3 linked regions of the Astyanax mexicanus genome follow. The protein of the gene in region 2 purifies or fractionates together with the protein of the main gene of each other region. This does not show direct contact. Links are inferred from orthologs where the notes say so. Each region holds a gene or a part of one and is shown on either strand. Other genes may lie near its edges.

Region 1 (10,281 bases), on a different chromosome or scaffold from region 2:
CTGTGGAGGCACAATAATAGTCTGAGGGTGTCCGGGGTAGAAAATGCTGTTACCATACTGTATCTTATGTTCCATAGAGTGTGATCAACTCGTACTAAGTTGTTATGCATGTTATCGGCTAAGCAGCCACATTTTCTTATTTCAGTTGTTTTTCCAATTTTACTCCTGCTTCACACTGCTTTTATTAAGATTTTGAATTTTAGTAAAGTAAAACTTTCCGTGCGATTTCAGGTCATAGTTTCTGTTCAATAACATTTGACCACTACACAATTGTTTCCACAGGATGCCTTCAGGAATGGTCTTGTTGCCACAGAAGTTCTGATGTGGTTCTACATTGGCGAGATCATTGGAAAGGGGGGCATTGTTGGATATGATGTGTAAATGTGGACTGTTCTTGTTGCGTGTTCCTTTGTATTAAGTTAGAACTTCTTGGAATCCAGGAACTAAATAAATGTCTATTGTTAAACAACAAAACCAGCCTGATTTTTATTTATTTATATTTATTATTTTTTTTTACACAGTACATGGATGGGTAATGTCTTAACTTTTTTTTATTGGGTCCTGTTCAACAATTCTCACATACACTCCAAGTAAATTTTGCTCTTAATCACTTCATGACTTTAATTTATTTGTATTACTCTTTGGCATATGCAAGATAAGGCACCTCTTGCTGCATGAATTGAGTGAATTTTTAAACTGAGTTTAATTTATTTGGTCAGCCTTTTTGTTTTTAACAAAAAAAAAAATATTATGCAGTGCAAAAATTACAATAAGCTGTTAGTATACAAACATGGAATAGTCGAAGGTGTATATTGTGGAATGCACTGGACAATTCTCATACTTTCAATGAGCTTGCTTTTTAAGTTATTTGAATAAAATGGGTTGTTTTGGGATGATCAAGACTGTACTGTGTTAAACTTAAATCACAAACCTGGTAACAGAAGAATCCTTGATATGAATGATCTGTATATACAAAAAATGCACAGAGACTTTTACGAAATCATGCTATAATTGACATTTCTTCACGCTCCCTACTTTCGGACAATGTCTGCACAACGTTTCCCAGATATCTGCGGAACTCCTGACGCACATCTTCAGCATCCTCCTCCAGGTTGGAGTGAATGAGGGACAACTTATTCAACTGAGAAGCTGCATGGAGGAAAAACGGCAAAAAAACATGAATCTCTTAAGCCCAGTGCATCAATACTAGTATCTGTTATGAGAAACCAGGTTTAGCATATTTCACAGTCTCACCTAACTGAGGGCGAGATGTATCTGCTCCACTGCCAGGCTTATGATGTGCTATGAGCAGGCACTGCCCCACTGCCAGGCCTTGTGAAGAGATAAATGTAGAGTACCAGGTTTCTACTTCCTTGAGGTGACTTGGAATATCAGGGTTAAATACTATCACCACCCCATTGGAGTCTTTCATCAAAGCAGGCCAGCATGCTTCATACCTGTATCAACAATATATTAGAAGTGGACAATAAAAGACCTAATTCAAACTTTTAAGACATGAATGTGAAATTCAGGTAAATTAATCTAATAATACAACCCGGTTTAATAAACTGAATAAGGCAAGGCTTGATGTATTGTTGTCTGCTACTATTGTCAATAATACAGAACTAAAATAGATGTAATGTGAAAAAATCTTATTTGAAGAACCCATATCACGTTTAAGTAGATGTTACTCACTAAAAAAATAGAGATTGCTGTACTATGTAAATATTCTATATAAACATACCGTTCACTTATGTATTAGAACTAATCTGCAACAACCTACAGTGGTTTAGCCATACCCATTCCCACTGACATTATAGACTGAAGAGTGCTGCAGTATAGACTGTTTTGGAGGCACACTAATAAGCAGCCAATCAAAACAAAGGCAATGTAAATATAGCAGTCTTAAAGTTGCAGTACATAAAACAGCTAGTTTAATTCTAGGGATAAAAAAAACAGAGATGGGAAAATGAAAATTATTTTATTTGCTACACAAAGGTCATGAATTGACCTCAGTGTAAAAAAAAAATAAAAAAATAAAACACTCACTTGAAATCTCCGGCACAGTCCCACAGTTCCACCTCACAGGCAGAGTCTTTCGAACCACTTCCCAAATGCTGTGACTCAAACTCCAGTATCCTTATGAAGATAGAAATAAATTAGTTAAGAAAAACAAAACACAAACGTATACACTGCCAGGCCAAAAAATGGTCACACTCCTAATATTTCATTGGACTGCATTTTGTTTTGATTGCTGTGCGCATTCTTTGTTGCATTGTTTCAATAAACTTCTGCAATGTCACAAGATTTATTTAAATTCAGTGTTGATGGTAGAGTCTGACTGCTGCACAAAGCTTCTCCATCACATCCCAAAGATTCTCAATGAGGTTCAGGTCTGGACTCTGTGTTGAACAATTCACTTTTTCACAATTCCAGCCCCATGAATCCTGACATTGTCATCTTGGAATATGCTCGTGATCATCAGGAAGAAAAAATAACCTGTTCTATATTCAGTATATTCAGTATAACCTCATTCTTTCAGCACATACCAGACATCCCAAGTTGCAAAAGTTGATTTCAGGGAGGTTACCCCACTCCCGGGCATCAGGGAGCCACTACCGAAATGCGGGAGACTCCCGCAGCTTCAGGGAGACTTGGTTTGTCTGACATACTGTTGCTGAACCTAAACCTGCAGACCAACTGCAGCATCAACCCACATCATTTAGCCCACATTATTTTTTAGGCAGGCACTGTATTATTTGTGGTTTATTAATTTAAAGCTCAGTTCTTAGTGATATTCAGTTTCCATATAAATCTCACCTCACTCCTTGTGTGGGACTGTAATCTGCCTCAATCGTCTCCACAGTGTCAGAGAGAAAATTTGCCAGCACAGTCTTTCCACACTGTCAACATAAACATATCAAACAATGTATGCGTCATGCATTACAAGATGTTATGGCATAATTAGGAAATAAGTTATAAACCCTATAGTGATAGCTAATTTCTCTGGTTAGTGTACTAGTGCATCTCAAAAACTATAATTGTAAATACTTTATTACTTTATTTCAGTAATTCAGTTCAAATTGTGAAACTCATATTATATAGTTGTATTAAACACAGAGTGATCTATTTTAAGTGTTCATCTATTTTATTGTTGATGATTATGGCTTACAGCCATTGAAAACCCAAAACTCAGTGTCGCAGAAAATTAGAATATTATATAAGACCAATTGGTACTTTTGGCAGTGTGGGCAGTGTGCCAAGTCCTGATGGAAAATGAAATCCTCATCTCTATTAAAGTTGTCAGCAAAGGGAAGCATGAAGTGCTGTAAGATTTTAGACTTGATATAACACAGTGGATCAACACCAGCAGATGACATGGCCTAATCATCAACAATAAAATAAATAAACAGTTAAAATAGATCACTCTGTGAGTTTAAAATGAATCACTGAAAAAAAAAAATTATGATATTTAATTTTTTTTAGATCCACTACTATGTTACATTTGATTTTGGCTATGCTGGTCAATCAGCTTGGTTTTACTGGTCTTGCTAGATGAACAGCTTGGTCAAGCTAGGTCATACTGGTTATCCAGCTATCTAGCTTGGTCAGGTTGATCAGGCTTGTAGCTAAAATCACCAAACTAAAAAAAAAATAAGCCATATCTTATAGATAAAAAAGAGATAAAAAAAGATAAAAAAAAATGAAATAAAAGAATTAAAATTAAAATTAGCTACAAAAAATCATAATAATTAAAAAATTAAGCAAGACAACACAAAAACATACCAAAAATCCATATGGAAAATACATGAATTAAAAGATAAAATATAATATAAACTATAACAGTGGCAGGCTGTCTGAAGGTGGTTAGAGACTAGAAGTTTAAAATGATTTAGAGTTTCTTGTAGTGAAATGATCTGTAGCTAAAAGCAGATATTACCAGTTCAGTAAAAACTCTCAGTAACTAAAAGGTGATCCAGTCACTGGAGCGAGTCTGGTAAGTTGTGTTATTATTAACGAGCATTTGTGTGATGTACGGTGGTATATGTCCAGAAAGTGCTTAATAAATAAAAATAAAGTGATATAAGTTACTAGTATATAACATAATAGTATATACAGAGCATAAAGTAAATATGAAGAATAAGAATCTGCTTACCTCGCTGGGTCCGATTAAAAGTATTTTTACTTTTAACATTTTTTAGAAAATTAGATATTAGACATTACAGTGACTGCAGATCCCTCAGTAACAAGCTGATTTAACTACTGTGAACTGGCTAGCTAAAGCTAACTAACCCAGCGTAACTGCTTAACGCTACTGTTAGCTTTATCTGTTTATTTACAGTGGTTCTGGATAACCCCCGATGTGTTTAGATTAGCTGTGTTGGTGGATTAAATATTAACGCATGATCTATTTAATAAACAACTGAATTTTTCTAAATACAGCAGCCGAGCCTCCTTTACGTTAGCATTAGCCACAATAAGCTAACTAATAATAACACCACACTTCTCGTTGTCATGGTGCTGCAGCGCAAATCAGCGCCTTATTTTACTTCCACACATTCGACACTCTGGACTCGTTTTTTATTTTATTTTATTTTTTTCATTTTTGCACAACATACAATCCAAAACACAAAAGAAAACACAAAATCAGGTCACAAACAGAGTTCAAATAACCATGATTACAAAAATACAAAAGCAAAAACACCAACCCCCCCCCCCCCCCCTAAAAAACTAACATAAAAAAGAAAAGGGATTTATATAAAATTGAAAAGATTCAGTATATATTATACATTTTCTCATTTTTAATTAGTCAGAAAATTAGCCAATAAATGTATATAATTATATAAGTCTAAATAACCAAATGTTTGGAATAAGGACTCTGGACTAGCCACATCAGTATAATAAAAAAAAAAGATAATAATAATAATAATAATAATAATAATAATAATAATAATAATAATAATAATAATAATAAAAGAGCAGATGTCTATGACATAAGTGGCTCAAAAAATGTGTAGTATATCTTAAATATAAACCTTACATTTGAAATTAAGATTAAACTGTTCAGTCACTAAATAATGTAGATATTTATATACCTTGCGTTGTCTATTCTACACCAACAGAGGGCACACCATGAAAATGAGTAGATTTATTAGAACAGAATGAGTGCACACCGCTAGAGGGAGCATCATAAATGCATCATAAAGGCATTTGATGAAATTAAATATAAACTCATTTATCCCAAACTGTGGTTTATGGTTAGATCTGTAGAGCAGATCTGCAGAAAAAAAATATTTATATAGTCTCAATATGTATATATAATTTAGCTGTTAAAACATTTTATTACAGCTAAAACATTACAGTTAAAATAGTACTCATTCTGATTCTGATTAGACAGTTACTGTGACACAAACCGGGAAAACCTTGCCACTGTCGCCATAAAAATTTGCATCTCTGTGGTGCTGCTCATAAGAGGCGTGGACCTGTCTTTCTCTGTAAAGTTGCTTTGTGACAACTTTTGTTGTAAAACGCGCTATATAAATAAAATTGAATTGAATTGTATTGAAAACCAGCAGAAATACTGTCTTATTTTTGAGATATTTTGGTCTTTGGTCTAAAGGGCAGTTTTGTTGGGCCTTACTGCATCCCTCATGTATATCTCTGAAATGAATGTGCTTAAAACCATATATTGTGAAAAACAAAGTTTGAAAGATCTGGCAGCATGTTGATAAACATTTCATGTGCTTTCTCTTGAGAAACATTTAGGCATTAAGCTTTTCAGGTATAATAAATTCAAGTGATACCTAAAAAATCCCCTGGGTCATATAATCAGATTTTGCTAAGTTTCTCTGTAAACAGGAATTTCCCTTCAATCGTTTGACTATTTCCATCTGTGCTTTTCCTGCACAAAGTGTGATGCTCTTTCTCCCTTTAAAGAAAATAATCTTTGGGCTAAGATGTTTTCTGGAAAGCCAGCTCAGATTTTTATCAGGACTAAGTGTATTAGAGCTTGCAATGCCTAAAATATGGGACAGAGAGCCAAATGAGAGCCACTGCTGCAGCTGCAGTGTTTTACATCAAAAATGTGATTCAAAAATGCTTTTTGAGAGGATTGCCAGCTCCTTCTCTATATTTTCACTGAAGGAACAGTAAAGGAAAGGGCTGGGAGCGTGTTTCCTTCCTAAAGCTCAGAGACACAGTGCAGACTGGAAGAACAGGCCGTGGCAGAAGGCCAGATGTAAGTAGGTTGTGTAGATTTGCCAGAAGAGTTGTACAATTTTCGTTGTATGAATGGGCTGAAGAATTTGAAACTGAAGAGTTTAAAGAATTTACAGTGATATAGCATTAATCTGGGATTTAACTGGTGGATTCAAAGTTATCTTAATCTTAAAATTAGTTATTTAGTTTAATATGTTACATTAAACCTTTAAATTCAAAAGACAAAATTATTTTTAAAATGACTCTCCTGCTTATGAAATTACTTTTGGTTATATATCTTTATGCACTAGTGGGCGGAGATAAAGCGTGTATTCTGTTTTATCTCCCCCTCCCACCAATGAAATGTTGAGCTACCTCAAAGTGCCATGCTAATGCCAAGTTTCACTCAGAAAGCAAAAACTCAAGGCAGAAGTATTAATTGACATTTAGTCAGACTGTAATATGATTCAATATGATTCCAATAATATTGTTTATTGCAATTATTTCTTGATCTACTGTATATATCGTCCTGGCAAATATAGTTATCATGACAGGCCTATTTACTATTTTGTGTGGCATGGTTTTATCCAAATATAATGCAGCAGTCACCAGATCTAAACAGAGTTTTCTGAGCTCCATTGTCCAAAAAATAGCTCTTACAAAACACAAACACACATTTTAAGATAAAAAAAAACTTTAATCTGAATAGGTCATTGAATAACACAAATATGAATGTGGCACCTGGTGTTTGGATAAATACAAGGTTTAGTATTTAAAACAATATTATTAGACAAAGAACAGCATAACATGGCAATGCTTGAGTAACATCTTAGTGGTTTTCTCTCTACACTCTTAAACATAAAGGGACTTCTAATGTTTTTTTGAGGGATTCCATAGAAGAACCACTTTTAATATAATTAAAAAGCCTTATTTAAACCATGGAACCATTAATACCTTTATGGAACCAAATATGGTTATTCTGTGGTTTTCCTCTAATACCCATTTGAAGCCCTGCTGCAATTTGTGAATTAAATGATTTTTCAAAAAGATTTTTTTTTTCACAAAGTAAAACTGTAATGGCTTCAATGATGGCTGAAAATTATACAAAACATAATATATGGCGTAGAAAAATAGCAAAAAACAGAAACACTGCTGAAAATATTCAGTCCTTCATTTTTCGGACTCTTTCTAAAAGACGCAAATCCTTCAAGTTCATTTCAACTGGCAGATCTTAACTGATGTTCCGACTCCAAAACCTGGATAGAGGGGCTCGCTGAACGTGGTCTCGAAGCGATGCAGACACGTCATGGTCTCGCCAATGCTGTAGAAGGCCAACAGCCCTGCGCCGTGGTCCAGGTAGACCCCTAGCCTGGGAGAGTGGGGGGCGTTGATGGTTTTGTCTACCCTGTTATGCCAGGCTGAATAGCCAGTGTCAGAGCAGAGGAGGCTCCAGGATTTATCGTTGTACCCCAGCAAGCAGAGGGAGCCTTTGCCCTTGCGGCTAATGCCCCGATAGGCCACGCCCACCGAGAACTCTCCGCTCCACTCGATCTCCCAGTAGAAGCGGCTGCCGGACAGGGCCTCGCGGCACAGCACCTGGGCGAAGCTGTCGAAGCGCTCCGAGTTGTCTGAGTAGGGCTGCAGGTTGCGGGTTCTCGTCACCTTTCTGTTGCTCTCGGACAGATAGAGCTCTTTATAGGCCGTGCTGGGATCCAGGCGGAGCTGGCAGAAGTCTGGAGGCAAAGAGAAAGAAATTTAGTCAATTCCAGTAGGTAGAGGTGGGCAATAAAGTGATATTTGATCATATTGTGATAAAGACAGTATATTTTGAATAAAAGTCACTTGTATTTGAAAAGTGGTTTTAAGTTTCTGTCAGTAGTGATGCATTTTGTGTGCGATTGAATGTATTGTGAGAAATATCATATATTGTAATTTTTTTTTTAATATTGTGATACTATATTTTTTTTACCATATCGCCCAGCCCTATCAGTAGGTCACACAACAAAAAATAAAAGGGTTCTTAGCAATGGTTCTCGAAAAGATTTTTAACACTAGCATTTGTTTTATTGACAAAAATTAGGCAATTTCTTAGGCATTTTTATTGACAATAGTTTTCTGACACTGATATGATTATAATATACTAGCATATTTATGCAGTTAAACCCTATTAATAAGCAATAAACATTTTAATTATTAAAGGAATTTAGACAGTGGGATTCGAAAATACACACACATACAATAAATAAACCTAATAAATAAAACATAATCAAATAAAAAGGATATTTTAAAAACAGAGTTGACACTAGAGCAGGGCAACATGACAATAATTTATGATATCAAGCCAAATTTACTTATTCTTTGAAAATATGCTTTAATATAATATACACTGACCCAATGTATATTTAATTTAAAAAAAAAAAGTGTAAAATGTTTAATTGGATGATGTGCAGAAAAAATATATATATTGAAAATCACTATACTGCATGAGTATTTAATTTGCAGTTTTTAAATGCTGTGTATCATAAAATTGTCTTTAAATGTTAAGATACAGTATAATAGTTTCACCATATAGCTCAACTCTGTCGGTGCATGATTACATACACCATGAGTGGTGGCTTTTATGCTCTTCATACCGATATATGGTAATTATATTGTGTCAACCAGAATTACAAAAATAACATAATCTAAAATTTGGCTCTAACTGCCACACACCGGCTCATGTTCATGTTAATGGTCTTTTTGGGCTAACTAAGCACAATTGATCAACTATTAAGTACAGCAAAAATTATTGAGGTTGTGTCAAAATATTGTTTAATAAGTAAAATGTATTAATTATGGTAACAGGCCTACAACCAATAAAAGCTAACATTTTTTAGGGCAGCACATCAAAGAACACCTATTGATGGTGTTAGGTTGTGAAAGTGTGGAATATCAATATTTGTACCATACAGGCCTATTGTGTATTATTTAGTGTAGTATTGTCAGAGCATTGTCAGGGCAACGTCGGGTAGTATTGTGAACTACAAGGGATGGTGTGTCATCTTAGCCCGGGTGGACTCTTTCAACCTGACGGAAGCATTCTTTGAAATAATAAGATAATCTACTTACATTTTAGAAAGTCAGACCGGCTCCTGGGTTGTGAAGGAGGGGCGCTGTCCACAGCATGGACCTCTTTGACTGGGCGTAGGAGAGAAAGCGAACAGTCAATGTAAAGTTAATACTGTCATATTGGTTGCTGTTATATCTATAGTTAGACTTCGCATTACTGTGTTTTTTTTTTAGAATAAATGGTAACACTTTATTTAAAGATGAAGAACATAGAGGGCTTAATACCACATTTCTTAGCATTGAACAATGTAATTATAAATATATAGCTTATGACGGTACTCACAACTTCTACTGTATATATTAACAAAACTTCATATATAAGGTTTATAGAATATATGAGTCATGAAAGAGCCACCTTAACACATAATATGTTCAGGGAATTCAAGGAAATGAAGGTATTTTGCCTGGAAAATGTGTTACCACTTTATTTTGACTAACACAAACTGTGCAGCAGCAGAATCAAAGCTTCTGTCTTTGACTTACATCCGCATTCTTAAAAACATATATAATAGTGTCTAAAAGAGTGAACACAGTGTTTAAAAACTCCAGCAGCACTGCTGTGTCCGATCCATTCTATGGACTGTCATGTATTGGCATAAACAATTAATAAAGATTCAATTATTGCTATATAAACACATTGTGGTATGAAGCCCCATACGCAGGTAGTCTTCAAATAAAGTCTAACCAATTAATTTAACATTATTTGGACTCATCATTTGCGTAATAATGCTCAGGGCTCACCTCGGCTGCTCTTCTCTCGGACAGTGCGGTTCTCCAGTGTATAAACAGGCACTTCATTCACTGTAAGACACCAGAAAAAGCACAAGTGTCAGGGTTTCATGAATCATAGTCCAGTTGTTATTGTTGGACACAAAACACAGTAAAGAGTAACACTCGCAAAGCTGCCTAATCAGCAGTTCAAATCTCTTTACATAACACCTTCCCTTGGACTCAGGGGACTGAACTGCTTGTGTA
Region 2 (10,281 bases):
ACCTGTAACTCTACCTCTTCACAACTTCACAACTGATGCTCTCAAACACATGAAGAGGCAAGAAATTCAAGTAATTAACTCTTGGTAAGTTCAGCACAGCTGTTAACTGAAAGCCTAAATTCCAGGTGATTCTACCTCATAAAAATGACTGAGAAAATCCAGCCAAGACATGCAAAACTGTCACCTAAACAAGAGAAGCTACTTTTAAGAATCTAAATTATAAAATATATTCTGAATTTTTAGATCAGGGGTGTCCAAACTTTTTCCATGACTGCACATGTGTTTCTTCTTCTGGCCCGCAACAAGAAAATACACCCCTGGTTTAGATGATGTTAGTATTAATCTACAACGCAGAGCATTTTAAAATAATAAAGAAAAAAAGCCCACTAAATGTAAGGTCCAAACATTTGACTGGTACTATCTTTGAGCATTAGCATGTCTGCATCTTTCTGCAATTAAACGGACAGAACACTTTACTGCTATATGCTAGATAGCTATGGTGCAGAATCAAAGCAGAAACATAAACTGGCCTTTACCTGCAGTCCCTGAGCTAAATAATCACTCATATTCTGCCAGATGGTCAAACTAGCTGATTAGTTTCTGATTTATAAAAAAAAATAATAATAATAATAATTATCCATCACATAACATGTGCAAGTGTACTGGTTAGGAACACTGGTTTGGACAGTAGAGATGATGTTGGTAGATCTTTAACTTACGCTCTGAATGGTTCTGTTCTTTAGCTCGTCCAGATCAATAATATCCTCTTCCTCATCAGGCTCTTCCTACCCACAGAAACACAGACAGAATTTAATTTACTGTATTCAACTCCTAACTTATAATTACATTAGAAAAACCTAAATTTCAGCATTGAACTGGTCATGGTCTGAATCTTCGGAAACATAGCACAAAAAGTAAGGAAATTTATGTTTGGTAGATTATTTCTTTGATGTAAAAATGCTTATTGGCAATAAATCTTTTCGTATAATTAGCCAAAAGAAGGATTTGGCTATTTTTTCATGTGGCAACCCACATACTTAGCTCTGCCGCTCATCCCACAAATGCATATTCCTTACAAATGTGGCTTCATTTAAAAGGGAAATTAACATGCTTTCCAACATTAAAAGATTGCCAAAAAGCATTGTTACAACAAAGAAATCATTTACTAAAAACAAATGTCCTTACTTTTTCTGCTAAAGCTGCATCTTAACAAATTAGAATATCATTGAAAAAAGTTACTTCATTTCAGCTATTTAGTTCAAAATGTGAAACCCATATATTACATAGATGTATTACACAAAGAGTGACCTGTTTTAAGCGTTTAATTTCTGGCTTACAGCTAATGAAAACTCAAAAGTCAGTATCTCAGAAAATTACAATATTATATAAGAGTGATAATTATTTTTGGCAGTGTGGGCTGTGTGCCAATTGCTGTTGGAAAATGAAATCCACATCTCCATAAGAGTTGTCAGCAGAGGAAAGCACAAAGTTTTGTAAGATTTTGCGGGAAAACTCTGTACTGACTTTGGACTTGACAGTAGTAAATTTTCTGAAGTACAGCTGGTTAATTAACAAACATTAGTAACAATTAGTTAACAAAGTACTTAGCTGTACTAAGATTTTGTGAACCTCCCCCATGAAAAGTACAACTGTGTGAAGTTAGTTCACTTTTTGTTTTTTCTAGATTATCTCTGTCAATAGTTCTTAAATGTATTTAATTCCAACAAGTTTAATTACTTTTTATTGCAACTGAATGTTTAAGTGTGTGTGTGTGTGTGTGCATGTGTTTGTCTTACAGGTATCTCCTCCACTTTATCCAGTGTAAGCTCAGCATCATCTTCCATCACAATCTCCTCCTCCAGCTCCTCAGTGGGGTAGACGGGCCTGACAGAAAAGGCAATCAGAGAGTCAGAAAAAAATATTCTTTAAAGTTCCTATTATTATCTCATTTGCTGAGCTTTACTGAAGTATGGGTAAATGTGTATGTGTGTGTATTACTTTTTCCAGATGAAGTTTCTACTCTTCAGAGCTTCTTCTGCAAGGCGGTCCAGGACATAACACACATGTTCTCCAGAACCAGACTTTAGTTTAGAAGGAGGAAAATCAACCACCCCACCCTACACACACAAACACAAACACAAACACACACATGCACACACACACAGTCATACAGAAAAGGTTAGCAGTGTGTATGTCTCCTAATATAAACTACAGTGCCTCCATAACATTGTGAACAAAGAGAGAGAAAGAGAGAGAGAGAGAGAGAGAGAGAGAGAGAGGAGAGAGAGAGTGAGAGAGAGGAGAGAGAGAGAAGGAGACAGATGGACAAAGAAAAACAAGAAACAGAGAAAGAGACAGGGAAAGAGACAGAGAGAGAAACAGAAAAGGAGACAGAGGGACAAAGAGACACAGAGTACATGAAAGAAAAAGAAACACAGAAAGAAAGAGACAAAGAGACAGAGAAAGAGACACAGAGACAAAGAGAGAGAAAGAGACAGAGAGACAGAGTGAGAGATAAAAAAGACAGAGAGAGAACAAGACACAGAACATAGTCTAGTCTTGGACATTCCCAATTAGGGGTGGGCGATATGGCCTTAAAATAAAAACACAATATTTCATAGTATTTTACCATTAATGATACTCTTGGTGATACCACAGAACACTGAATTTAAAAAAATATATAAAAAATACACTACTGCAACAAAATGAAAAAAATAAATGTTATTATTGCATATGATATGTTACGGCACACCCCTAACTGAGACATTAAAAAATATATAAGATTTTAACAGGACTAATAATGCACTCCATATATCTCAATATATCCATGATTAAAGTAAAATAAATGATACTGGGCAGATAAAATCTCCAGTAGATATATAATGGGAAACGAGAACAGTGTGAATTTTTCTTTTGCTAAAAACAGTTGAAAAAAAGAAGGAGTACCCTGATGTGATAATTAGGGGTGGGTGATATGACACGATATTTCAGGGTATTATATCGTTCATGATATTCAAAAATGTTAGCAGATTTGTTATGGCACACCCCTATTCCCAATCTTGCTCTGATGGCTCCATGATGTGGGATTCACATGGGTGGAACACAGGCTAGGTGGGTTCAAGACATGGGCATGGGCTCTGAATGGGTTTGTACATGTGTTGTTACTGAGACACAGTTGGAATTCCCAAATGAGCTTCATCATTACAGCCCACCTTCATCTCGAGGGGACCCATCTATGTCCCATGTCTCTGTCTCATACTTTCTTACTCATGCACACTCTTCAATGTTCAATGTTTCTGCCTTGTTGTAACTGACCAGAGCTCGGAGCTGGGACAGGATGTTGGAGACGGTGGCGTTGGGGTCATCATGCTCCTGTGGTGTTTCAAACGGCCGTCCACACAGTGTTATAAGCCAGGCTGCAATCACACTGAACATGTAGAACTGCTCACCCGTGTTGCTCGCTGTGTATGGACTCGACACAAAATAATGCCTGAGAAAAATAGGAACAGTGAGGAGGACAAGAGAAAGAAAAAGACAAGGACAAAGAGAGAAACACAGACAAAATGAGGACAATCAATGTTATATTATTAATATTATAACTAATACAGGGGTTGGACAATGAAACTGAAACACCTGTCATTTTAGTGTGGGAGGTTTCATGGCTAAATTGGAGCTGCCTGGTGGCCAATCTTCATAAATTGCACATTGCACCAGTAAGAGCAGAGTGTGAAGGTTCAGTTAGCAGGGTAAGAGCACAGTTCTGCTCTAAATATTGCAATGCACACAACATTATGGGTGACATACCAGAGTTCAAAAGAGGACAAATTGTTGATGCAGGTCTTGCTGGCGCATCTGTGACCAAGACAGCAAGTCTTTGTGATGTATCAAGAGCCACGGTATCCAGGGTAATGTCAGCATACCACTAAGAAGGACCAACCACATCCAACAGGATTAACTGTGGACGCTGTAAGAGGAAACTGTCTGAAAGGGATGTTTGGGTGCTAACCCGGAGTGTATCCAAAAAACATAAAAGAACCTGATCAAATCACGGCAGAATTCAATGTGCACCTCAACTATCCTGTTTCCACCAGAACTGTCCGTCGGGACAATAAATTATTGTGGTCTAAAACCAGGTGTTTCAGTTTCATTGTCTAACCCCTGTACAACTGGCAGGATTATTTTTATGTAGAGCTGCTCTAAAAAGCAACAATAATCAGTGTTTTAGCAAAATATTCCACAAGATCCTACAGTAGCATTACAGTAGTATGAAAAGGTTTTGGCACCCCTGATCATTTTCAGGATTTCCTTTCATAAATTTTTGGTTGTTTGGATCAGCAATTTTAGTTAAATGTATCATATAGCAGACGAACACAGTGACATTTGAGAAGAGAAATTAAGTTTATAGGATTTACAGAATGTGTGCAATAATTCTTCTATCACAATAAGACAGATTAGGCAGAATTTGGAGGTCCTTGTGGTTTTATTGTTTTGAATCTGATTTTGCTATTTATAGATATATGTTTAAGTTGTTTTATTCTATAAACTACAGGCAACAATTCTCCCAAATTCCAAATATAAATATTGTCATTTAGAGAACTTATTTGCAGAAAATACCATTTTAGAGCTTTTAGACCTCAAATAATGCAAAGAAATCAATCAAAGAATTTAGAAATCAATATTTGTTAGAATAAACGTAGTTTTAATCACAGTTTTCATGCATCTTGGCATGTTCTGCTTTTGGGTAACTTTATGCCTTTAATCCTGGTGCAAAAAATCAAGAAGTTCAGCTTGGTTTGATGGCTTGTGATCATCCATCTTCCTCTTGATTATATTCCAGAGGTTTTTCATTTGGTAAAATCTAATCATTTTAAGTGGTCTCTTATTTTTTTCCAGAGCTATATATACATGTATTTTTACGGGCTTAGCTTTAAATACTGGCTAAATAACATTACATGAAGATAGCTACATGACTTGCTGAATTTACTCAACAGTGGCCGATCCAGGTCCAGAAAGTACTGATCCACCCCCAGGATTTAGTTCCAACTGTCTGGGTGGCTCTGAGCTGCAGCAGAGCCGCTCAGGTAGTTGGAACGAAATCCTGGGGTGGACAGGTACTTTCTGGACCTGGATCCAGAAACAAAATAGCCAGCTAAGGCTAATAACAATGCTATAATAAGCTAGTCTATCTCATTTTTTGTTGTTTTAACTCGCCGAACTCTTACCTGGACAGCGTTTTCATGTTGTGTTTAACCAGAACATGTTCCTCATAATCCAGCAGCTTCAGTTTATCCAGCATATCCTCCATAACCACAAACATCTGAAATTGAGCTCCTGGACCCCGTTCATCCTCCTCCACTCTTCTACCATCTTCTGCCATACTGTACACTAAACTACAGCGGGTTAGAGAGCTGTAGTTTACTCGTCAGATGGGTAAATTAAAGCCTCTTTTGTGCTGTAGAAGGGTGTACAGTTAGCTAGGTTAGCTAAGTTATCCCGCTAGCCGCTGCTAATGCTGGGCTGGTGTCTGTGCGGTTTGTTGTAGTTACTGTTGGCAGCTTAGTTTAGCCTGTAGCTCACTACAGGGTTGCCAGGTCTAAAAACATAACCAGCCCAAAGTCAGTTTAGAACCCGCCATTCAGAAGCTTAAACTAGCCCAAAATATACAGCTCTGAAAAAAATAAGAGACCACTTAAAAATGATGAGTTTCTGTGATTTTACCAAATTGAAAACATAATGTAATATAATCACGAAGGAAGATGGATGATCACAAGTCATCAAACCAAGCTGAACTGCTTGAATTTTTTGCACCAGGAGTAAAGGCATGAAGTTACCCAAAAGCAGTGTGTAAGACTGGTGGAGAAGAACATGATGCCAAGATGTATGAAAACTGTAATTAAAAACAGGGTTATTTCACCAAATATTGATTTCTGAACTCAAATATGAATATGAACTTGTTTTCTTTGCATTATTTGAGGTCTGAAAGCTCTGCATCTTTTTTGTCATTTCAGCCATTTCTCATTTTGTGCAAATAAAACTTTGAATGACAATTTTTTTCAGGAATTTGGGAGAATTTGGCCGTAGTTTATAGAATAAAACCACAATGTTTATTTTACTCAAACATGTACCTATTAAATAGCAAAATCACTGAAGTCGTCTCTTAATTTTTTTCCAGAGCTGTCTGTCTCACGGCTTAGTATTTACTTACAGTCATTAATAATAGTGTTACATTAGTATTTTTTATTAGTTATTTTATAACAGTTTTATATCACAGTCAAGAACATTTAATAATAACATAAATAGCAAAAAATAAAATAAAATTACTTACTCTTTTCTATTCCTGCCCCTCCTGAACTTTCTTCACTCCTCTTCATTATTTTTAATTGCCTAGTGATTTCTGGTTACACTATGTTTTTTTTTTTTTTTTTTGGGTGGGGGGGGGGTGTGACTTTTTGTTTTTGTTTTTTGGTGGCCGCGGTAATTTTTAAAAGAAGCCCGAAAAACGCACCCCGCCACCCCTGAATTTTCACCCGCGACTGGATTTTCAAACAAGCCCAATTTGACGGAAAAACCGTGAACCTGGCAACTCTGGCTCACTAACTGTTGTTCAGTAACGTTTAGCAGTAATACCTGCACACTACAAAAACACTCAGTTATGTCAATAAAAATGGTCAATTAGATCAGACATTTAGAAAATACAGGCGGGTTTGTATTAGTCAGTCAATAGATAGACAATTTCATATAGAATAAATAGAAATAGAAATATAGCTAGACTCGTCAACACTGTATATAACACTTATTTAATTTCCTGGCAATACATATTTCTTTTTTCCTCTGATAAGATTGTTTTTCTTACTAAGCACTGTATAAATGTAAGATTTTTTTTTCTTAGCTTATTTTAGGAATAATTAGGCTTTTTTCCCTTATGTTAGCACAAAATAAGCACAAAAATTATCTAATTGTAAGGAAATAAACCTTTTTTTATCTGATAAATATTTTTGTTTTACTAAGCACTGTGTAATGTTAACATTATTTTGACTATTATAGGAATAATTAGGAGTTTTCACATTATTTAAAGTAATTTGAACTCGAAACAAGCACAAAAAGTGAAATGATTGAATTTTAAGGCAACAAATCTTATTTTTGTCTCTGAAAAGATTGGTTGTCTTACTAAGCACTGTGTATAAGTATAAGAATATTTGCTTATTTTAAGAATAATTTTCACATTGTTTCATGTAATTTGAAGTCACAATATGCACAAAATGTGAAATTATCTAATTTCAAGGCAATCATTTTTTTTTCTCTCTGATAAGAATCTTTATCTCACTAAGCATTGTGTATGTGTAAGATTGTTTTGCTTATTGTAGGAATACTCAGTCTAACTTAGAATTTTAGAACTCAAAAAAGCACAAAGAATCACCGGTCAAGTTAATTTAATCCTTGAATCCATATTTAATCCAAAAAATCAGTTATTTTTTTATTGATTTAAGTTCTACTCCACTCATTTTGAGACAAATGTCTCCATACGTCTGTGAAATATTTATTTAAATTTTTTACAAACATTGTATAATACAATTTTTTTTAATTAACACATTATAAAAATATAGATCTACTTTAAAGGCCTTTAAAGCTTTATTTGATGTGGGAAGGTTTTTGCTGCTTAGTTAAGTTGAATGATTCTTTCAGGGGATTAAATAACCTTTTTTAAATTGTGTTAAAAATGTATAAAGTTTTTAGGCACTGACATTTTTAATTTAGCTTTTTATATACATATATCAAACTATTTAAATGTTTCCAAGAATTCCCTGTCCATTCTGTCATTTTGGGATAACCCCGCCCCTTTAACATAACGTTTTACATCAGTGATACCATAACCTTAAGAAACTTAAGACACTTGTTGCATGTTCAGCAATTTAATTTAATATGAATCACATTATTTCCATATTAAGCTGTGTTTAAGCTCAAGCTGTCCACAGTCTTTTAGTAAAATATCTCAGTAATTATCTCAGTATCTTTGAAACAGAACTACCTCACCATGAACATTCAAACATGCCAGTTTTCAACAAATGCCAGTTTTCTCTTAAATTGTCCATTCTGTAACTGTCCATCCTGTCACTGTCTACTCTGTCGTGCAGCTTGCAATGGGTGAATGCATGCATGACAGAAAGTATCGTTCCTGTGTAGTCTGAAGTAAAATATCATTCTTGTGTAGTCTTATAAATATAAAAAATAGTCAAAAGACGGCAAAAAGGCAGAGTATTCTGGCCAGATTAGCAAAATAATCAGTTTACAGTGTGCAAAAAAGTGCTTAAAAGACTAAAGACCATGCAACAGTGGGCCCACAATTCAAAGCAAACCTACCTACCTACCTGTTAAACATGGTGGTGGAGGTGTCATGGATCGGGCATGGCTGCCACAGATATTTTGACCCATTTTATTGATGATGTAACTGTTAAAAACAGTAGTACAATTAATTGTGAGGTATATAAGAATATCTTATTTGCTCAAGTTCCCGTAAATATCTCCAAACTCACTGTGTGGTGCTTTTTTACTATAGCAAGATCATTCCAGACATAGTTCTCTGGCACCATTGTTGTTTTTCAAAGAATACAAAGTGATTTGTTTTAGTTAGCTAATGCTGGCAGGAAATGAAGGATGTGCCATGATTGATGGAATAATGAATAATGAATTATGCCAGCAAATCCTCATGGAAACTAATAGTATTAATATTATTATTAATATTACTTTTGTCTGCGCTAAATCTCAAAAAAAGGTGGGTTATGCAGCAAGACAATGACCCTAAGTGCATGAGTCATTCTAGCAAAAAATGGACGAAGAAGATCAAAGTGAATATTTTGGAACGGGATCTGGCCAAAATCCTGATCTTAATCCAGTAAAAAAGAAAAATTGTGGAAGGAGCTGAAGCAGCAGAAACCCACCAACATTCCAGAATTGAAGATGTTCTGTATGGAGGAATGGGTTAAAATTCCTCCAAGCCGACATGCAGGACTGATGAACAGTTCAAAACAGCAATTTTATGATGTTTTAATGATAATATCTGTACTGAATTTCAAGTAGGATTTACGCTTTTATTTAAGAAATATATGTATGTTTTTGTATTACTGCTAAGACTATCAAGATATCAAATGCATATCGGCATTTAAACATGCGTGTATCAATGAGTGTGTGTGGGTTTCATAGAGAGAGAGATAGAGAGAGAGAGAGATAGAGAGAGAGAGAGAGAGAGAGAGAGAGAGAGAGAGAAAGAATTCCAGTAGAGCTGCTCAGCTGTTCATATTTATTTCAAGTAATCTTTTTTTAGCAGACATGTCAGATACACACAAACACACACACACACACAGTAACGCAGTTTATCTGCTATATGTATACACTGCCTTTTAAGGTTTAAGTGGAGGTTTTAATTGGGCAAAGTTTATTTTTAATTTACTTTTAAAAAGTTACAGATTTTTCTGTGGTAAAGTCAGTATAACTTCTCAAAGCTTAAAATGTCAGGAAAAAATATTTCAGCTGTTCCTTGATCATCTTGTTGTTGAGCTTTTGGCGCTCATTAGTTGCCCAGACATATTTAGCATCTGCACTAATTTGGCAAATGATAAGACAGGACATTTTTATAACAATAGGAGTGGCACACGTAAGCTCATGTTGGCTTTATCTTACTGTTTTTCATTCTTAACCATTTAACTATGCTGAAATAATAAAAATGAGTCATTCCATTTCTCATTTCTCTCCCATTTACATACATGTTTGGTCTGTGTATGACTTATATTGAGGACGACAAATACACTCATTGACAAAAATAATGATAATAATAATAATAATAATAATAATAACGCACCAAGAAAGAGTTGTTGGAATAGAATGAAGCTTCATACTGTATGTGTGAATGTAATGATGATACTGTATATGTAGGTGATTAAAATATTAGAGTAAAAGGATAAGTTTATTGAGAAAGTGAAAGTTGTCGTTCGGAGGCGTACAGATTCCATATGGCATCTTGTGGCATATTTGCCAACAGATGTTGTAGCTGGGTGTGTAGATCTTGCACACTCATACTGTGGGTTGCGGAAGCTGGTGTCTCAGTTAGTCCCATAAATGCTTGACTGGAAAAATCTGGCAACCGTGCAGACCAAGGACATGTTGCAATTTGGTGAAGACATACATGGGACACCCTTGCAGTTTGTGGATGAGCATTATCCTGCTGGAACGTGCCAGATGTTCTGCACATAATGCTTCACTACTAGGCGTGACTGACTGTTGTATTCA
Region 3 (10,281 bases), on a different chromosome or scaffold from region 2:
TGTTATGATATGTTTAAACATCTCACAGACAAATCTCTTAGTATAATTTTGGACTTTTATAATGAAGTTTGGACAGCAGGGCAACTTCCGTCAGCTTGGAAACTGGCCATAGTGGTACCGGTAGGAAAGCCAGGAAAGGACTTGTCTGATACAGCTGGTTATAGGCCTATTTCTTTAACTTCACATTTAAGTAAGCTTATGGAACGCATGATAACAGAAAGGTTGTCCTACTTTCTCGAGCGTCAGAATAGCTTTTCTCCTTATCAGAGTGGTTTTCGTAGAGGCAGAATGACAATGAACTTAATCCTAGGTTTAGAAGCAGATATCAGGAGGGCACAGCTTCATAAAGAAGTGGTTGTTGCTGTATTTTTTGATATTGAAAAGGCTTATGATATGCTGTGGCAAGAAGGTTTGCTAATTAAGCTGTCTGTGCTCGGAATCAGAGGGAGGATGTACAACTGGGTAATGGATTTTTTAATGAATAGGTCCATACAGGTCAGGGTGGGTACTTCTTGTTCTAAGGTGTATTCTATTGAAAATGGGACTCCGCAAGGCAGTGTCTGTAGCCCTATTTTATTTAACATTATGATCAATGACATCTTTTCTGGGGTTAGTCCTGACATAGCAAAATCTTTGTATGCAGATGATGGGGCTCTGTGGAAGAGAGGGAGGAATCTATCTTTTGTTAAGCGAAAGATGCAGGAGGCAATTGTTGGGGTTGAACACTGGGCAAATGAATGGGGATTCAAGTTATCTGTGGCTAAATCCCAGGTCATCTATTTTTCTAAGAGATCAAAAACAAATGAACTTGGGCTTAAATTGTATGGTCAGACTCTTGAACAGGTGAAGGTAGTCAAGTTTCTTGGTCTGTGGATGGACTCGAAATTGACCTGGAAGCATCACATTATGAAGAGCATAGACAAATGCAAAAAAGGATTAAATGTCCTTAAATGCTTGACGGGAAGTGACTGGGGGGCTGACCGTTCCTCTCTCCTGTGCATCTATGATGCTCTAATTAGATCGGTTTTTGACTATGGCTGCATGGCCTATAGATCAGCTGCTGAGTCAAACCTAAAATTACTTGATGTAATTCAAGCACAAGCACTGAGATTGTGTTGTGGTGCAGTTAGATCCTCCCCAGTGGCTTCTCTACAGGTTGAAACAGGAGAAATGCCTTTGCAGTTAAGAAGACTTGCATTGTCTACAGTATATTGGTCCAACCTGAAGGGGCACATAGAGAGCCATCCAGCTGTGTCTGTTCTACATGATTGCAGTACTCCTCTTCATGGTCCCTCAAGGAGTTTTGGGTTTCTGAGCAACTCAGAAGCAGGCGAAATGGGATTGCAGGCTCGTGCTTTCGGCAGTACTGTTCCTATATCAGTGGTACCACCTTGGATGTTCCCATTGCCTAGTGTTGATTTTTCCCTCCTTAATAAAAAATGGAGTGATGCAGGAAGTACAGCTGTTATGGTAGAACAACATCTGGCACTTAATTATTATGGTACTCTGCAGGTGTATACTGATGGGTCTAAGGATCCTACTGTGGGATCCACATCAGCAGCGGTCTTTGTGCCAGAATTTCATGTGATCATTAGTAGGCGACTGTCTGACAACCTATCTGTATTTTCCTCCGAGCTTGTCGCCATTCTTTTAGCATTGCAGTGGGCTGAGGCTGTTTGCCCTATGAGGATGGTGATTTGTTCAGATTCTTTGTCTGCTTTACAAAGCATCCAGTCTGGCAAATCTAAATGTAGACAAGACCTAATTTTAGAAATATCTCAGGCATTATTTCGTTTACACATGCAGACTATTTTAGTTCAGTTTTTATGGGTTCCAGCACATGTAGGGGTGGACGGTAATGAGACTGCTGACAAAGCTGCTAAACAATGCCTGAAGAAAAATAGATATGACCTTGATATCCCTCTTAGCAAAGCTGAGGCAAGAGTGGTTATAAAGCAACATGTTAGAACATTATGACAGACTAATTGGGAACATGAACCGAAGGCATTTGTTTGCAATACAACCGGTTGGTTTTGGAGGGAGTGGAGGGTACTGTCGGAGGCAGGAAATTGTACTAACAAGGCTCTGAGTAGGTCACAGTATGCTGAATGCCTCTTTGCAAATAATACAGAAACACTCCACAGGGCTTTGTCGCCACTGTCCGCAGAGGGAAACCGTGGACCATGTTCTTTTTTGTTGCAATAAATATGCTGTACAAAGGAAAATTTTGTTTTCTTCTCTTAAAGACAAGGGTCACAAAGAATTTTCTTTGACAGGATTGCTTTCTTATGGGGCAGGGATGGGTTCGGTTCACAAACTGGTTTTTCAATATTTGAAAGCTATTGGTATATTTTACTTTATTTAATTTTTTTTTCTCTCTCTCGTTTACTTTCTTTTATTTTTATGTACTTATTTATGAATTTCCTTTCACCTACATTTTGTTTATTATTGGCCATGTCACTTCCCGAAATCACACTTCACACTCCTGCTCAGTAGGTGGCGGTAATGCACCTTCAGTTGGTCTGCCATCCGCCATAAACCTGAAAGAAGAAGAAGAAGAAGAAAGAAGGCGGAAACTGCGGTGCTACCGGTTAAACGTAGCGCGATTTAAACTTCTGAACAGCGGTGAAGCTGAATGTGTATAAGTATTTTACACAATACTACATTAACAGTTTAAACACATTTATGTGCTACTGTAGTTAGTCCTGCCTATATGCCGCTCTTAAACAGAAGTAACTGAATGAAAACGTTAGAAAAGCCCTGACTTTTTTTTCTGGAATGGCACTTTCGTGATTTTTTTTTCCTTTATTGTAGTAATTGCATTAAATCGTGTATACGTGTGTGTGTGTGTGTGTGTGTGTGTATATATATATATACGTACACATACGTATACACAATTTAATGCAAGACAGACAGACAGACACTTTATTGATCCCCGAGGAGAAATTTTGGAATTACCGCAATAAAGGAAAAAAATCACGAAAGTGCCATTCCAGAAAAACGAGTATTTTAATCTTTGATTTAAAAATATCTAAAGTCAGGGCTTTTCTAATCTAATTTCAGTCTACTCTCTGGTCTCTTGTTGTTGCACATGCGTCACATGGCTCAGCAAAGCCAGCCAAACCGCCACGCAGGTAGGCTCAGCCTGGCCCCGCCCACTCAGCGCTCTCCTCGAGTCGACACGCCTCTACCTCAGGAGATTTGTGTTGAGTGATATTTTTTTACACTCTGTTTATTTAAGAAAAACTTGCATTTGAATTGCACTGAAAGGAAGACAATTCCTTATTTTTTTTATTGTTTTTCCAAATGACAATTCTATTAAAAAAAAGAAACAAAGAAACAAAGAACTAGAAAAGATGTCTAGTGAGGGGAGAATTTTTATTTTATTTTTTTATATTTTTTTATTTTATATTTAAACTTTGTTTTGTTACTGTTCCATTGTTTCTAAACAAAAAATGTTGATTGTGATACTAAAGTATTTTGTTATCAATGTTTGGTGAAATTATATCCTAGGTTTTTGGATCATTTGGATCTATAAAGCTTAAATATTAAAAAGTATCGGTATCAGTATCGATATCGGCAATACTGGCCCTGCGTTTACTTGGTATCATATCGATACCAAAATTCCCGGTATCGCCCACCTCTACTGTTCAGAAGTTTAAATCGCGCTATGTTTAACCAGTAGCAACGCAGTTTCCGCCTTCTTTTAACAGATCTGTTAAGGTGATTGGCTGCAGTAAAAAATGATGGACAGTTTGGTCTGTGTGAGGATTGGCTTAATAAAAAGTGATTGACAACAAAAGTGTAGTATCTGATTGGCTGCAGTCGACAATGATTGACACATGCTCCGCCCTTTAGCCACGCCCACTTGGGCTCCGGCCTGCAGCATTACATAGATGGGGAACTGCACGATGGAGATTTGCGTCACGCCGGCGTCTTTGCAGTTTCCCTCTTACCCGGTTAACCAGAGACTCTCTATTTCAAGGGAGAAAACCCACTTTAGAATCTCCTCCGGGTTTGTTTCACCACCAAAGGAAGCCTCTGAGTCAGTCTAAAAGTAATGTGGGGAAAATCAGAGTTAATTAATGATTAATTATTTTATACGGTAAAATGTTCTACTTTTTAACATAGAACAATGCCATGTTACCAACAATAATATGTTTCAGCGCCGCAGACATCATTTTATAAACGTTTTAATATCAGCAGCATCACTCCAGCATCAGCTAACCAATATAGATAGATAGATAGATAGATAGATAGATAGATAGATAGATAGATAGATAGATACTTTATTGATCCTGAAGGGAAATTAGCAGCCAGTAGCAGTTACACAACACAGTAGAAACAAACAACATTTTAAGTAAGAAACAGTAAGAAAGCACTGTAAGGAATATAAAAAAACAAGGTATGTTTTCTTTGCTTTTAAGCAAAATACACATCACATTAAATGTCTACATTTAAAGTTTCAAATAATATCTAGGACTAGAGGTTAGTTACTGTTTTTAGTTCTTTTAGTCGGTTAACTCTATTCACCCCTATTCATTTTGTACTCACTTGCGGGCTCCCTCTAGCGGTAATGTTCCGCTATAACGACGAAAGTGGGAGGCCTCCCCATAAACCGGCTCTGTCACTTCTTCGTGGTTCGTGCGTCTTGACGACGGTAACCAGGAACGGAGATTTAGCAAATATCACCATCGATATTAAACTTCTTTATAAAATATACAGCATGCAGCTCAAACACCTGAAGACTCTTCTTACCCCACAGGTAATATTAAAGGACAGCTGATGAGGTTAGCTAGCAGTGTTCCACGGCTACTGATAGGATAAAACATTGCTAGCTACGTTAGCGTAGCCTTTTCGATTGTCTCGTATTACAGATTCAGCATAACAGTAGGTTAACTAGCGTTATCTAGCTAGCCAACCTAACTACTAAATGGAATAGCTGGCGTTTAGCTTTCCTGAAAACTGGGGTGAGGGTAGAAATTAAACCTAGTTATCTAACACAGCGTTAGCTAGGTTAGCATACGGGAACCAATAAAATGCCACTAAGGTAACACATATTTTGCTAGTCAGCAAAATAATTAACTTAAGTTACTGGTCTAAATATGTAGATAACCCCCAACGTAAATGTGTTCTAATTAGTTACTAAGAGTTAACGCTGGCCTTTGTAATAAAACAAAAAAGCTTAGCTAGTGTTTATGCAACCAGTCGCATTTATATCCCACGACCCAATATATCTCAGGTCGGTTTTTCTGGCTGTCCAGTAAAACTCTTTATTTTCTGACAGGACGGGGCTGCCAAAGTGACCTGCATGGCATGGGCACCGAACAACGCCAAGTTTGCCGTGTGCACCGTTGACCGGGTAGTTCTGCTGTACGACGAACAGGGAGAGAGACGGGATAAGTTTTCAACCAAGCCTGCAGACTCCAAAGTACGATAAGTGTGGGGCGACTTAACTGCTTTTCCTTTTACTAATCTGACAACGTATATTTTTCTTCATATCACGATACGCTTCATTCCGTACCCTTGCTTTTTTCCTGAGTATGCCTCTTTGCGATACAGATTCAAATGTAAGATCTGCAATTCGAAAAAATAATTTCAATTGTATAATTTGAAGTGTTTATAGGTACAGACTACTCAACAATCTAATAAAATCTCCGTGTACATGTACTGTAATTTAAGTAATCTGATCGAAAAATTTGAATTGTATAGAATATCACGTAGTGTAAACGTTACCATGACAACCAGCATCACGTGTCCAGTCAAAGTAGGAGCAGCAGGAGTTTTCAGCTGGTGTGTGTTTGTTGTTTTTATTAATTTAAATAATTCACTCAGGAAAGAGTTCTTCATACTCACTTTTTAAAGAAAGAAGGTCAGAGTCCGCCCTACCTCTGAGAACACCAAGCCTCTGGATAACAATGCTGTTAGGAGGGATGGAATCATATAAAAGATTATCTGACCCTCCCAGTACACATGGTTTCAAATCTAAGTATTTTCTACTCTTGACATTTCTACTCCTGGTTCAGAATGAAGTCATTATTTTTAGGAAGCATGGCAAGAAGTTTTTGGCCAGTATAGTCAGCAGCTGCGCCCTGTCCTTTCTCCAGTGCATGCTTTATTTATTTATTTATTTATTTATTTTATTTTTTACAGTATGGAAAGAAAAGCTACATGGTCAAGTCTATAGCATTTTCACCGGATTCCACCAAGATCGCCATTGCCCAAACTGATAATATCATATTTGTATACAAAATTGGAGAAGATTGGTAAGTATGTCAGTTTATCCTTAATGTTACTTAGATATAAATTTTATATTTATGTTAACCATCTTTAAATTAACATGAAACCAAAATGTCTGCCTCTATAACCTGATGTTATCTTAATGACAGGGGTGACAAAAAAGTTATCTGCAACAAGTTTGTACAGACAGTAAGTTATATGTATGTAGATTTATAAATATGGAGTAAAATGACAACATTCTACATATAACACGGTATGTTAACTTCTCATTTATTCCATTATTACAGAGTGCTGTAATATGTCTGCTTTGGCTAGCAGAACACTCTATAGTTTTTGGACTGGCAGAGGGAAAAGTAGGTGCCCTAAGTTTTACAGAACGTTTTAAAAAATGTGTTTAAAATGCATTTGCATCATTAATTAATAATTTTGTTGACATGCAGATTCGTGTGGCCAACACAAAAAACAACAAATCATCTACAGTCTATGGAACAGAATCCTATGTTGTCTCGCTGACTTCAAAGTATGCCCATATATGTTTTTCTTATAGTTCTCTGTACCTCTGCCATCTTTTTGAAGTTTTGTATTATATTTGGTTTTGCACATACTTACTTTATCCCAAACTGTATGTGTTAGTGTCTCCGGTAAAGGAATCCTTTCAGGCCATGCAGATGGGACTGTTGTGCGGTATTTCTTTGAGGATGAAGGTTCTGGTGAATCCCAGGTATCACAACCAAAAACAATAAGTACAAAAAAATGAATACAAAAAAGTTCTAAATATTGTTTTTGCACATTTACACTATGAAACAGTAAGGCCAGTCCCCCTTTTTGCAGACTGTGAATTTGTAGTTACAGGAGTAACCAACATGAAAACCAGAGAACTGACTAGGATAAAAACAAGCAATTGTAAAGCTAAGAGAAGATGAAAAATCAGTCTAGCAGCAGAAAGAAAGTGATTGGTCTCACTGTTCCTTTTGGATAAGACGGTACATAGTAGAAGATTAACTGGAATCTTTTGTGCTTATTAAGGGCAAATTGCTCACACACACCTGCCCACCATATGCTCTTGCATGGGGAAGCAACAGCATTATTGTGGCTGGGTCTGATAAGAAGATTGTGGCATATGGCAAGGAGGGCCATGTTCTGCAGATGTTTGACTACAGCCGGGATTGCTCAGAGAAGGAGTTTACTGTTGCAGCCACCAGCCCCAGTGGACAGTCAGTAGTGTTGGGCAGTTATGATAGGTGAGTATGCTATTTACATGCTATTTTCCATACGTTTTCTAGTAAATCTTTAATGTCATGCGTTCGGTCACACCATGGAACTTTAGTTTAATCCTCAAGTAGTTGCAATTGATTTTTTTTAAAAGTTATATACTGTACTGTTTGCATGCATACATACACACGAGTACAATTACATTAAATCATCTGTGGAGTGCAACAACATTTTTTTTTCTCATGAGTGGAAAAAAAAAGTAATTGTGCAGAAGTGTAACCCTTCCTCTTTTCACCACACCCAATTCACATTTGTTGGTTGCAAAAATAACTAAACAACAATGGCTAGGGGAAGGAATTAGAATCATATAATAATGTATGTTAAATGTTAAATAATAAGAATTAATCATAATTTATTGTATCATAGATTTAATAACATTTTCCTGCATTGTCCTGCAGATTAAGGGTTTTCAACTGGAGTCCTCAAAGAGGTGCTTGGGATCAGGCATCTCCCAAAGAAATTCCCAACCTGTACACCATTACGGCTCTTGCGTGGAAAAAAGATGGCTCACGGCTCTGCACGGTGTGTTTTGGATTACCCACAGACCAGCCAGAGTATTAAAGTTGCCTGTTAAAAAAGGCTGGCTTCTGTTGTAGTACATTATTGAAGCAACACCTTTTATCCTTATTTTTGACCAGGGTACGCTGTGTGGTGGAGTGGAGCAATTTGACTGTTGCCTTCGCAGAAGCATCTACAAGAACAAATTTGAGATTACTTATGTGGGCCTTAATCAGGTAGGTTCTTTTTTAAACTTTAATGTAGTTTTAATTATGTCTGATGTTTATAATTATTTTCTGTCAAAGTCAAAGTGAACTTATTTGACATTGGAATAAATGAAGAGCATACTACATTAGACCGAATTATGCCTATTAAATGAAGATGCATAAGAAATTGTTATGCTGAAAAGTGCGGAACTTTAAGGGAAGTTTTTTCGAATTTATGGAATGAGCTTTAGTCAAAGACTAAAAAGGGCAAGTAAGCAGAAGCTATAAACTTTATTTTCTCAGTGCGAGGAATGAATTTGGCTCACATCCAGGACTAATTTTAAAATGGCAGCCACATAAAAATAGGATTTTTTTATATGGCAACTGCATTGATTAGAAATATATATTTTTTAACATGACGCTCGAGTGTTTTTTTTTTTTCGTTTTTTACTTTACTAAACCACAGACATGCTTTTTTTTTATAAATCACTTATTAAATGGGCTAGAGATGTATTTCATTTAATTCAATTCAATTTTACTTCTATAGTACTTTTTACAACAGAAGTTGTCACAAAGCAGCTTTACAGAGAAAAACAGGCCCATGCCTCTTATGAGCAGCACCACAGAGATATCAATTATTGTGGGACACAGTGGCAAAAAACTCCCTTTAAGAGGAAGAAACCTTAGGAGCAACCAAGACTCAGTCAGAGGAACCCATCCCCCTGGGGTGGACCTGCTCAGTACAAAGAAATAACAAACAACAAACAAATAACAGAACAAAACAACAGTACAGAGAGATAACATGAGTTAGAGCTAATGTAACAGGTACTGATTTATAAATGTAAAAATGTGATGGGCACATAATGGAGAGATATGGATAATGTAGAAACAGGTACTAAGCTACAATGTAAAAAGGTCACATAATTGATAATGAAGAGCTATGGCTAATATAGAAACAGATTCTGAGTGTGTTCATGTTGATCAGTGCAGGGTCGTAGAGCAGGGATGCAACACAGCGAGCAGTGAAGAGCCAGGCTGGGCAACAGGGTATCTCGATATATGTAGAAGAGATAGATAGAGAAAACAGAAAAGCAAAAAGATGGAATTAGTTTTGACTGGATTTGACTGGTCTACAAACCTGAGTGGCTGAGTGGGTGAACAACAGCACCAGCATTCAGTTTACCACAATTCCCTATGTCCGTGAACCCCTGGATCTGCAGCCTGATCTAAAGGAAAAACATTAATTACCGAAAGCTAGACCAAACAAGTAGGTTTTTAGTCTAGACTTAAAGATTGAGACTGTGTCTGAGTCCCGAACATATTCCGGAATGTTATTCCAGTGTTGGGGAGCTTTATAAGAGAAAGCGTTTTCTCCTGCAGAAACCAGCACTTTGTGATCTAAGCAATCGCGGTAATTCGTAATAGAAGATGAGGTCTTGCAAATTCTCAGGAGGGAGCCCGTGTAGGGCTGTATACTTTAACATGAGAATTTTATAGTTTATGTAGAATTTGACTACAGAGGTGTAGAAAAGCTGTTCTAGTAACATTAGATGTGTGTTTAGCGAATTCTAACTATAACTATAAATTCTAGTATAACTGGAAGGTATATCATTTATCACAAACTGATAACGATTGGTAAAGTATGATTTAAACCAGTTACACCGACCATGTTCTCTAATCTTTCTAGAAGGATAGTATGATCTATTGTATCAAAGACTGTGTTTAGATCGAGCGATGTTAATAAAAATCAATATGTTTTAATAAATCTTGATCAGGGCACTCTGGTAAATATTTTGATACTTATATTGTTGGAATATTTTAACAAATCCACAAATATTAGAACAATTTGTAATTTTTAGATTTTCCTAAATATGTATTTGCTAAATGAGTAGAAGGTAGTAATTACTGTACCCATGACTGTACCCAGAGGTAATTTTGGGCCCACTGTATTGTGTTATTGTTAAAAACGATCATATGCAAGTGTTCCAGAGAAGACTGTGGTCACCACTTTTATGCAGAGAAATAACAATAGCTGTTTCCAGATACTGGAAGTTTTCCCAGATAG

Evidence for each region.
Region 1: the proteins of ift57 (region 2) and ift22 purify together in Homo sapiens (affinity purification with mass spectrometry; 3 studies listed by BioGRID and IntAct, counting the BioPlex papers as one, with this or other methods). This does not show direct contact. The link is inferred for Astyanax mexicanus from reciprocal best matches to the Homo sapiens genes IFT57 and IFT22.
Region 3: the proteins of ift57 (region 2) and ift172 purify together in Homo sapiens (affinity purification with mass spectrometry; 3 studies listed by BioGRID and IntAct, counting the BioPlex papers as one, with this or other methods). This does not show direct contact. The link is inferred for Astyanax mexicanus from reciprocal best matches to the Homo sapiens genes IFT57 and IFT172.

The regions. Positions count from the first base shown.
Region 1 is NC_064408.1:15,181,441-15,191,721, reverse strand, and holds ift22 (intraflagellar transport protein 22 homolog), read right to left. Parts: upstream 4,521-10,281; 5' UTR 4,196-4,520; coding exon 4,157-4,195; intron 2,904-4,156; coding exon 2,821-2,903; intron 2,140-2,820; coding exon 2,050-2,139; intron 1,458-2,049; coding exon 1,255-1,457; intron 1,150-1,254; coding exon 1,001-1,149; 3' UTR 910-1,000; downstream 1-909. Other genes in the region: atp5l (ATP synthase subunit g, mitochondrial), read left to right, coding at 283-381; ftr82 (finTRIM family, member 82), read right to left, coding at 7,411-7,931, 9,307-9,375, 10,048-10,107. UniProt on the Homo sapiens protein: Small GTPase-like component of the intraflagellar transport (IFT) complex B.
Region 2 is NC_064411.1:27,938,526-27,948,806, forward strand, and holds the start of ift57 (intraflagellar transport protein 57 homolog), read right to left. Parts: upstream 5,662-10,281; 5' UTR 5,378-5,661; coding exon 5,223-5,377; intron 3,491-5,222; coding exon 3,316-3,490; intron 2,118-3,315; coding exon 1,999-2,117; intron 1,885-1,998; coding exon 1,797-1,884; intron 786-1,796; coding exon 719-785; intron 1-718. UniProt on the Homo sapiens protein: Required for the formation of cilia. Plays an indirect role in sonic hedgehog signaling, cilia being required for all activity of the hedgehog pathway.
Region 3 is NC_064408.1:56,344,064-56,354,344, reverse strand, and holds the start of ift172 (intraflagellar transport protein 172 homolog), read left to right. Parts: upstream 1-4,607; 5' UTR 4,608-4,726; coding exon 4,727-4,765; intron 4,766-5,287; coding exon 5,288-5,431; intron 5,432-6,153; coding exon 6,154-6,266; intron 6,267-6,389; coding exon 6,390-6,429; intron 6,430-6,527; coding exon 6,528-6,593; intron 6,594-6,680; coding exon 6,681-6,760; intron 6,761-6,873; coding exon 6,874-6,961; intron 6,962-7,266; coding exon 7,267-7,481; intron 7,482-7,910; coding exon 7,911-8,034; intron 8,035-8,150; coding exon 8,151-8,246; intron 8,247-10,281. Other genes in the region: uncharacterized protein LOC103024580, read left to right, coding at 2,494-2,645. UniProt on the Homo sapiens protein: Required for the maintenance and formation of cilia. Plays an indirect role in hedgehog (Hh) signaling, cilia being required for all activity of the hedgehog pathway.